Linked DNA regions of Neurospora crassa OR74A. Each later gene encodes a partner of the first gene's protein in a complex. Links are inferred from orthologs where the notes say so. Each region holds a gene or a part of one and is shown on either strand. Other genes may lie near its edges.

The links. Proteins that work in one complex are often made in the same cells at the same time.
Region 2: NCU03778 (region 1) and NCU01614 share a complex: the UniProt entries of both Saccharomyces cerevisiae proteins name them as parts of the sm core complex. The link is inferred for Neurospora crassa OR74A from reciprocal best matches to the Saccharomyces cerevisiae genes SMD2 and SMX3.

What each region holds. Positions count from the first base shown.
Region 1 is NC_026505.1:2,382,405-2,385,913, reverse strand, and holds NCU03778 (small nuclear ribonucleoprotein Sm D2), read right to left. Parts: upstream 1,982-3,509; 5' UTR 1,770-1,981; coding exon 1,744-1,769; intron 1,645-1,743; coding exon 1,612-1,644; intron 1,464-1,611; coding exon 1,412-1,463; intron 1,335-1,411; coding exon 1,129-1,334; intron 1,044-1,128; coding exon 1,001-1,043; 3' UTR 512-1,000; downstream 1-511. Other genes in the region: dak-1 (dihydroxyacetone kinase 1), read left to right, coding at 1-428; NCU03777 (mitochondrial 3-hydroxyisobutyryl-CoA hydrolase), read left to right, coding at 2,734-2,856, 2,931-3,509. UniProt on the Saccharomyces cerevisiae protein: Plays a role in pre-mRNA splicing as a core component of the spliceosomal U1, U2, U4 and U5 small nuclear ribonucleoproteins (snRNPs), the building blocks of the spliceosome.
Region 2 is NC_026502.1:2,951,685-2,955,240, forward strand, and holds NCU01614 (hypothetical protein), read left to right. Parts: upstream 1-1,287; 5' UTR 1,288-1,598; coding exon 1,599-1,706; intron 1,707-1,908; coding exon 1,909-2,000; intron 2,001-2,110; coding exon 2,111-2,183; 3' UTR 2,184-2,967; downstream 2,968-3,556. Other genes in the region: NCU01615 (hypothetical protein), read left to right, coding at 1-862; pp-2 (protein arginine N-methyltransferase HSL7), read right to left, coding at 3,133-3,315, 3,422-3,556. UniProt on the Saccharomyces cerevisiae protein: Plays a role in pre-mRNA splicing as a core component of the spliceosomal U1, U2, U4 and U5 small nuclear ribonucleoproteins (snRNPs), the building blocks of the spliceosome.

The DNA.
Region 1 (3,509 bases):
CTCTCCACACTGTCGGTGGAGGGGAGTCGGACAAGAAAGCTGCTGATGAAAATGCCTGGGCCGCAGCCCTCAAACTGAGCTGTGAGGCCCTGTCCAAGTACACGCCCGCTCGTCCCGGTGACCGCACCCTGGTTGATGCCCTCTATCCCTTTGTCGATGCGCTCGAAAAGACCGGTGATGTGAAGAAGGCGGCCGAGGCTGCCAAGCAGGGAGCTGAGGGCACCAAGGGTATGAAGGCCAAGTTGGGCCGCACCGTCTACATTGGCGGGTCCGGATTCGAGCAGGTGCCGGATCCGGGCGCTTGGGGATTGGCCAAGTTCTTCCTTGGACTGGCTGGAATTGAAAAGGCTGATGATTCCAGTGCTAAGCAGGCCAAGGGATCGGATGATGGATGGGAGGAGGTTACAAGAGAGGCGGAATTGCCGTAAGAATTGGTGCTGTATGTGATCTCGATATACCCCTAGGTAGTTAGTTTGCACCACCATTTCAATGACGTACCAGGAACACCAATACAAATCATCCCGTTGCTTGTCGTTAAAAAGCACGAGAAAACATGACCGCGTCTGCGAAAACCTAAACACGGTCTGGGTATTCTGTTCGATCAAGTTACCAGAAATGAAAGATAAAAAGTTAAACAAAACCAAATACACGTTTGAACGCCGAGCTCACACTAGTTTTCCCTTTGTATGACCTTCCTAATAGCCCCTGAAAATCTGCTTGGGTTTCTCTTCTTTCCTCTCGTTCCTGCGCGGCGCCTTTTCACGGGGCGTTTTGAATTGCTTTCGTGGTTGTGTCGTCATCATGGTCGATCGAGCGGTTGAGTAGTAGTAAGGTGATATAGTCCGCATGTCTCTCGATTCAGTCGACCAACAATAGGTACCCTTCCCGGGCTCATCCCCACTCCATTCGAGCCATTAACCCTAAGTTGTGCTGGCGCGTGTCTTCGCCGTGCAAGTGAAATAAACCTCCAACCTATACATTTTGCCGTGCTATTCGTGAACTAGCTGAGGAGGACAAGGATGACGGAGTCGCCTCTCAGGAACCTGCCAGGAAAGTGAAACATGTCAGCCATTGATCTTCGCTTCTCCTGGGCGAGAGAAACAACAGATGAAAAGGAAGTGCACAAACATCTTGCTGATAAACCTGTCCTTGTTTACGGGCTTGCCCTTCTTGCCATTGGCCAGTCGGGGCGTCTCGGTCCACATCTCCTTGACGTTCTCCAGCACCATGTTCATGTGGCGATCGAAAGCCTTGACGCGCGCAAGGATCTTGCGCCCATTGCGGACGGAAATGAGGACTTGGGAGTGGCTGCGGACGGCGGTCTGGAGGATGGACTGCCAAAAAGGGTGTCATATTAGTCGCTGCTCCGTGTCGAAGGGGTGGTAGATCAAGGCTTATGGGGCATATGTACCAGAGGACCGGCGGAGAACTCGTGCTCTTCGAGGAGAGAAACTTCGTATTCACTGTATCAGACGAGTTGGTTAGCTTTGTGATTTGGCTGGGCGGGCGTCGTGGTCTTGGGTCGCAAAGAGGAGGAGCTGGGAGCAGCAGGGCGGGCGAGATGACGATGGTAACAGAGGGAGGTGATGTTGACAAGAGGATATAACGTACGTAAGCTCATTGCGCGGCTTCGTGAGAAGCTCCCTGTATAGTAGACAGTTGTTAGTCAAGTTGGTTTCCTTGAAGCGTCCATGGGCTGCCCGCGCACATGGGTTGATGCTGGAGAGTGGGATAGCTACTGACTGAATCTTTGCATCCGCTGAAGCCATGACGATGGTGTTTTGGTCTAGAGTTGAATTGGAGTGGTACTGAAATGTAGGAGGGGCAAATGAGTTGTAGTTTTGTCTTTGTATCAAAAATGGTTGTTGACGTCGAGTGGTTGCTTCGCGTGGTATGGGTTGGTGGTGTACGGTAGAAGCCTGGACAATAGTTGCTGTAATGGATGCTATCGCTATCTTCAATCCACGACGGGAAATGTTGCAGCAGCGGAGGGCCAGGCGCGGCGGCGACTCGGAGCGTGGAGCAGCTACAGCACACGCGCCAAGCTTTTCTGGGAACAGAACCGTCTTCAAAGTTTGGCGATTGGATGACAAGCTCACGGTGGATCCCAATGCGAAAGGCTGAGGACCGCTCCGGTGACAGGTGCTGCCAGCCCCGCCGAACCCGACATGCTCCCCCGGACAGCCGGGACATCGGGTTTCCAGTGAGCGGAGGGCCCGAGCGTCGCTTCTGGAAAATGACAAGTTTGAATGGATAGAGGTATCATCGGCCGGAGGATATTCCAGCTTCTAGCGATAGCGGCGGGGATTCGGCAGGTTCCACAGCTACCTCTACACTATGTATTAGCTCCCCCGTACCTAACCCCGCCCCGGGGATTGCCAGGCGCGGTGCCCTTGAAAATCAATTGAAGCTGGAGCTCCATTTCGCGTTGAATTCCAGCAAAAAGTGGATTTGCAGATACTCTCGCTATCACTTATCACGGTTCCTGCATCCACGCGGCATTCAGATCATTGGTGATTGTTCTCCCGTTTTCCCTTTCCCAGCCCAGGAAAACGAGTCCCGAAAAAAAGTGCCCGAGTCCCTTGGCCGGTCTATGATGCAACAACGGTGCTAAACAGCCTCGGGGTGGATTTTGGACTTAGTATTTTTCTTCCATATTGACCCTGGGTCTTGTTATTCCATTCCTATTCTAGACAAAGCCAGCCAGCCAGCCAATTACCGAAGTGTACATCGATGTTGGTCTCCAAGTCCATTGCCAGCCGCGCCGGCTTGGCTTCTGCTGTTGCTTCTCGCAGCTGCCGACCAAGCTTCACCGCGATGCCGCTCAGAGCCAAAGTCCTGGGCCAGCAGGCCCCAGTAAGACGCTCCTTGGGAAGACAAAAGCCATGGACACGGACACAGCTAACACGCTCGCCGCCCCCTCCTCCCAGATCTCGACCCAAGCCGCCGCCGAGTTGTTCAAGCCCGTCGAGGGTGACGAGCCCGAGGATGTCCTCTTCAACAGTCTATATAATCTCCGCTCCGTCGAGCTCAACCGCCCAGCCAAGTACAACGCCCTCAATGGCTCCATGATCCGCAAGATCGCGCCCCGTCTCCTCGAATGGGAACGCTCCGATATGGCCAACGTCATCGTCATCAAGGGCTCCGGAGAGAAGGCCTTCTGCGCCGGTGGTGATGTTGCCGCGCTGGCCAAGCAGAACGCCGAGGGCCCCGAGGGCGTCAAGAAATCCGTCGACTATTTCGGCCTCGAATACAAGCTCAACCACCTGATTTCCACCTACACCAGGCCTTACGTGGCTTTCCTCGACGGCATTACCATGGGAGGTGGTGTTGGTCTCAGCATCCACGCCCCCTTCAGAATTGCGACCGAGCGCACTGTCTTCGCCATGCCCGAGACCAAGATTGGCTTCTTCCCCGACGTCGGCGCCTCTTTCTTCCTCCCCAGGATGCCTGGCCAGGTCGGCCCCTACCTCGGTCTCACCAGCGCCCTGCTGAAGGGTGTCCAGGTC
Region 2 (3,556 bases), on another chromosome or scaffold:
CCTCCGCTTCGGCGAGGCCCTACTCCAAGTCGTCGACCGACTGGGCCAGACCTTCACCGGCGACCTAGCCAAGATGACATGCGAAGCCCTGATCAGCCTGGCATCGCGCCGGGGGCATCGGCCCAAGACCATGGCGCGCCAAGCGCGCGAGGCTAAGGCGCGGGAACAGAAGCATAAAGAAGCCGAAGACGCGTGGGACGGCAGCGTGCCGGATATGGCGGATCCGATTTCTGCTGAGGAGCAGGCTAGGCTTGATATCTTGGAGGCGATTGTAGAAGGGTGGTCGTCTGGTACTTCCAAAACGGGTGAAGAGGATGTAAGGATCCGTGCCTCTGCGTTGTCAATTCTGGCGAATTGCATCGAGACGAATATTGTTGGTGTCGCGGCGGTGTTGACGATGGCGAGCGTGGATCTGTGCATTAATGTTGTGCAGGTAGAGCGGCAGCTGGAGAAGGGGATACTCAGGAGGGCGGCGGTGAGGCTGATTATGAGCTTTATCAAGGCCATGGACGAGGCGAAGCACGAGGGGAGGGTGTTGGGGATTGCGTTTGGGAGTGAGACGCAGGAGCAGCTGAGGACGATTTTGGGGTATGTGGAGCAGACGGACGAGGATGGGTTGGTCAGGGAGTATTGTCGGGATGTGCTGGAGAGCTTGGAGAATTGGAAGACGAATAGCTTGGTGGATGAAGTGTCGTTGAGCCAGGCAAGAGGAGGAGGGTTCGGTGGTGGTGGGTTAACGAAGCTGGCTGGGTTGGTTGTCGACCCGGAGAGGTCGGTTTCCCATGGTGGTGATGATAGTGGTGGAAGTAGTGGCGGTGTTGAGATGTTCGGCGGTAGACCTAGGATTGAGGAGATTGAGTAAAATATCTTCACCCAGTATGGGACTTTATTAATTCAAAATGACTTCCTGTCAGGTCCTGAACAGTCCCCTTCCATTTCGTTTCAAAACATCGGCGTCTTCGAGGGTCTTGACCTGAAGGTGTAAGTGGGCATCGGAAATAATCAGGGAGAGATGTCACCAGGTAAACTTGAGTGAAGAAGTGAAAGAATACACTAAGCTATGTACCTGAGTAATGATAAGCAAAAGGATCGCCATAAAGGTCTTGGTGATGCTCATCATCGTCGCTGTCAACAACATCAAGTATCCTCTAGCCACCAACCCTAACCCTGTAATCTACTAATCAGACAGGCTTATTGCCACGTCCAATCAGCTATCGCGTTAGGGCTCCACATGTCCCTCGTAACAGAGGAACTTCCATCGTCGCGCTACTCCAACGCCGCAAAGGTCCAGCATTGGAGGCACAGTCCCAGTTGGAGCTTCTTCCATCATAGCATCAACGCCAATCCCATCTCTCTTCCCAACTTTTCATAACCATAACCTCGACCTTGTTGCGTCCACCCGACCACAACCCACTCTTACACATCTAAGAAAACCGACAAATACAAAATTCCATTAGCACCAAGCCGAATCGCGAATCCAACTTTCGAGCCGTCCCATCGACGACAACAACAACAACAACAACAGCAAGCCTGTGAATACACACACAAGGCGCCACGCACTTGACCAAGAACCAACCCTTCGAACCGAAACCGACAACATGTCTTTTGTCCCAGTTAACCCCCGTCCCTTCCTTCAAGATCTCGTCAACAGCTTTGTGACGATCCGCTTGAAGTGGGGAGAGACGGAGTATGTTGGCCGTCTTGTTGTACGTATATATATACATATCCAGCATCTTTCTTCCAATCTAGCCTTCCCTTTGCCGCTGGACTTTGGTCTTGGCATACACAGCTGTGGGAAGCGATGGGGAGGGGAGGGGAGGGGGAAACCAGCAGGCAGGACCAAGGAGCAACGAAGGAAGAACAAAGAGAGAGAGGCTGACGAAATGCGTGTGTGCATGTGAACAACAGAGCATCGATAGCTACATGAACATTCAGCTCAGCGACACAAAGGAGTACATCAACCGCAAGTTTACGGGCGCCTTGGGGCAGGTTCTGATCAGGTACGTCCATACTGAATACATCCCACTGCTACGGCTTTCCATACGGACGACCCAATCCCCCATCTCGTATCAACTAGCCGGGATGCTGACATTATGGACTTCAACAATAGGTGTAACAACGTTCTCTACATCAAGAAGGCCGACGAGGCGGAAACAAGTGGCGACGTCAAGATGGAAGAGTGAAAGTTCTCTCGCCACCAGGAGGAGGAAATGAAAGGGTAGCCTAGACTAGCGGGCAGGGTGGTGAAGGGCGCGATTTGCAGAACAGACAGGAGGAATGTGTGAGGAGGGAGGGTCGTGATGTTCCGACTATAATACCCTGGGAGGAAAAAAGAAGAAGAAGAAGAGATGGATCTACTCTACCGACCAAACCAAACCGAGCCGAACCGAAGCACAAACCACAACGCACCCGCTCGCCGAAAACTCGTTTCCCAATGATGAAAGTGTGCGCTTCACGAAAGGTGCGACAACAGCTTTGATGATATCGGGCGCGCATGGTGTGGAGAGTGGTACGGAAGGGCGGATTTGCTTCAAGAGAGAGTGAACGGTGGATGGATGGATGGATGGGTACCGAGCGTCTCTCTGTCTGGTAGAGACCTTCGTTGCATCTCCTGCGCAAGACCGTCAAAGGAGCATGTGCCATCTGGCCTTTCCTTGAAGATAAAGGCTAAAATAAGATGTTGGAACAATACTCAGCTTAACAGGAAAGAAAGAAACAAAAATCTGTCAAGACCACACATCATCTAGGTACTGAGCAAAGAAAAGGAAGTGGCGGGTTGAGTTAGACATGCGGACATGGCGTCTGGTTTCCAGGTATTATTTCAACTGAAAGAAAAAGAGAACGAGCGGCGTGAATTTCTGTTAGTCTCAACTTCCACTTGCCTATACATCACACGACTACAGGCAAAGACAGTCACCATCATCATACACATCGCGCGCCTTCCCAATTATGAACATTCTATCCACCATTTGACTTCGAATCTTTTATTCTTTCGCTAAAACAAGACTTTTGACCTTTTCCTCGCAGCGTTTGTTACAGCTGCATACTTACACACTCCTAACACCCGACCTAGCCAGCCTTGCCCACCACCTACTGGTACCTAGTTACCTCCGTTTTTACATTTCCTCTCTTCTAACCAAAAATGCAGGCAACCTTACGACTGCTATGCATCTCAGAAGCGCCAACCTTGATACGGGTCTTGGGACCCACCCAAGCATACACTTCAACCATCCACTCGTACCACACCCTGGTGTCGTCGGTCTGGCGCCACATGCTGACTTCTAGCTCGGTGTCCTGAGGGAAGTAGAGGGGTTGCTATGTATCGTCGAAGAAACAGGGTCAGTAATCGTCACCAAAGCAGGAGCGAGGAGCGAAAAGTCAAGAAAAACAAGAAATGAAGGAAGAAGAGATAAAAACTCACCCTAAGAGGGAAGAAAATCGGGAACCAGGAAATCATGTCCTTGCTCTTCCGATCAATCTGATCTGGCAAGATACTAATTTCTACTGGCGTCTTGCCCTCCTCCTGATGCTTGTACAGCACGCTCTCGAAGTAGCC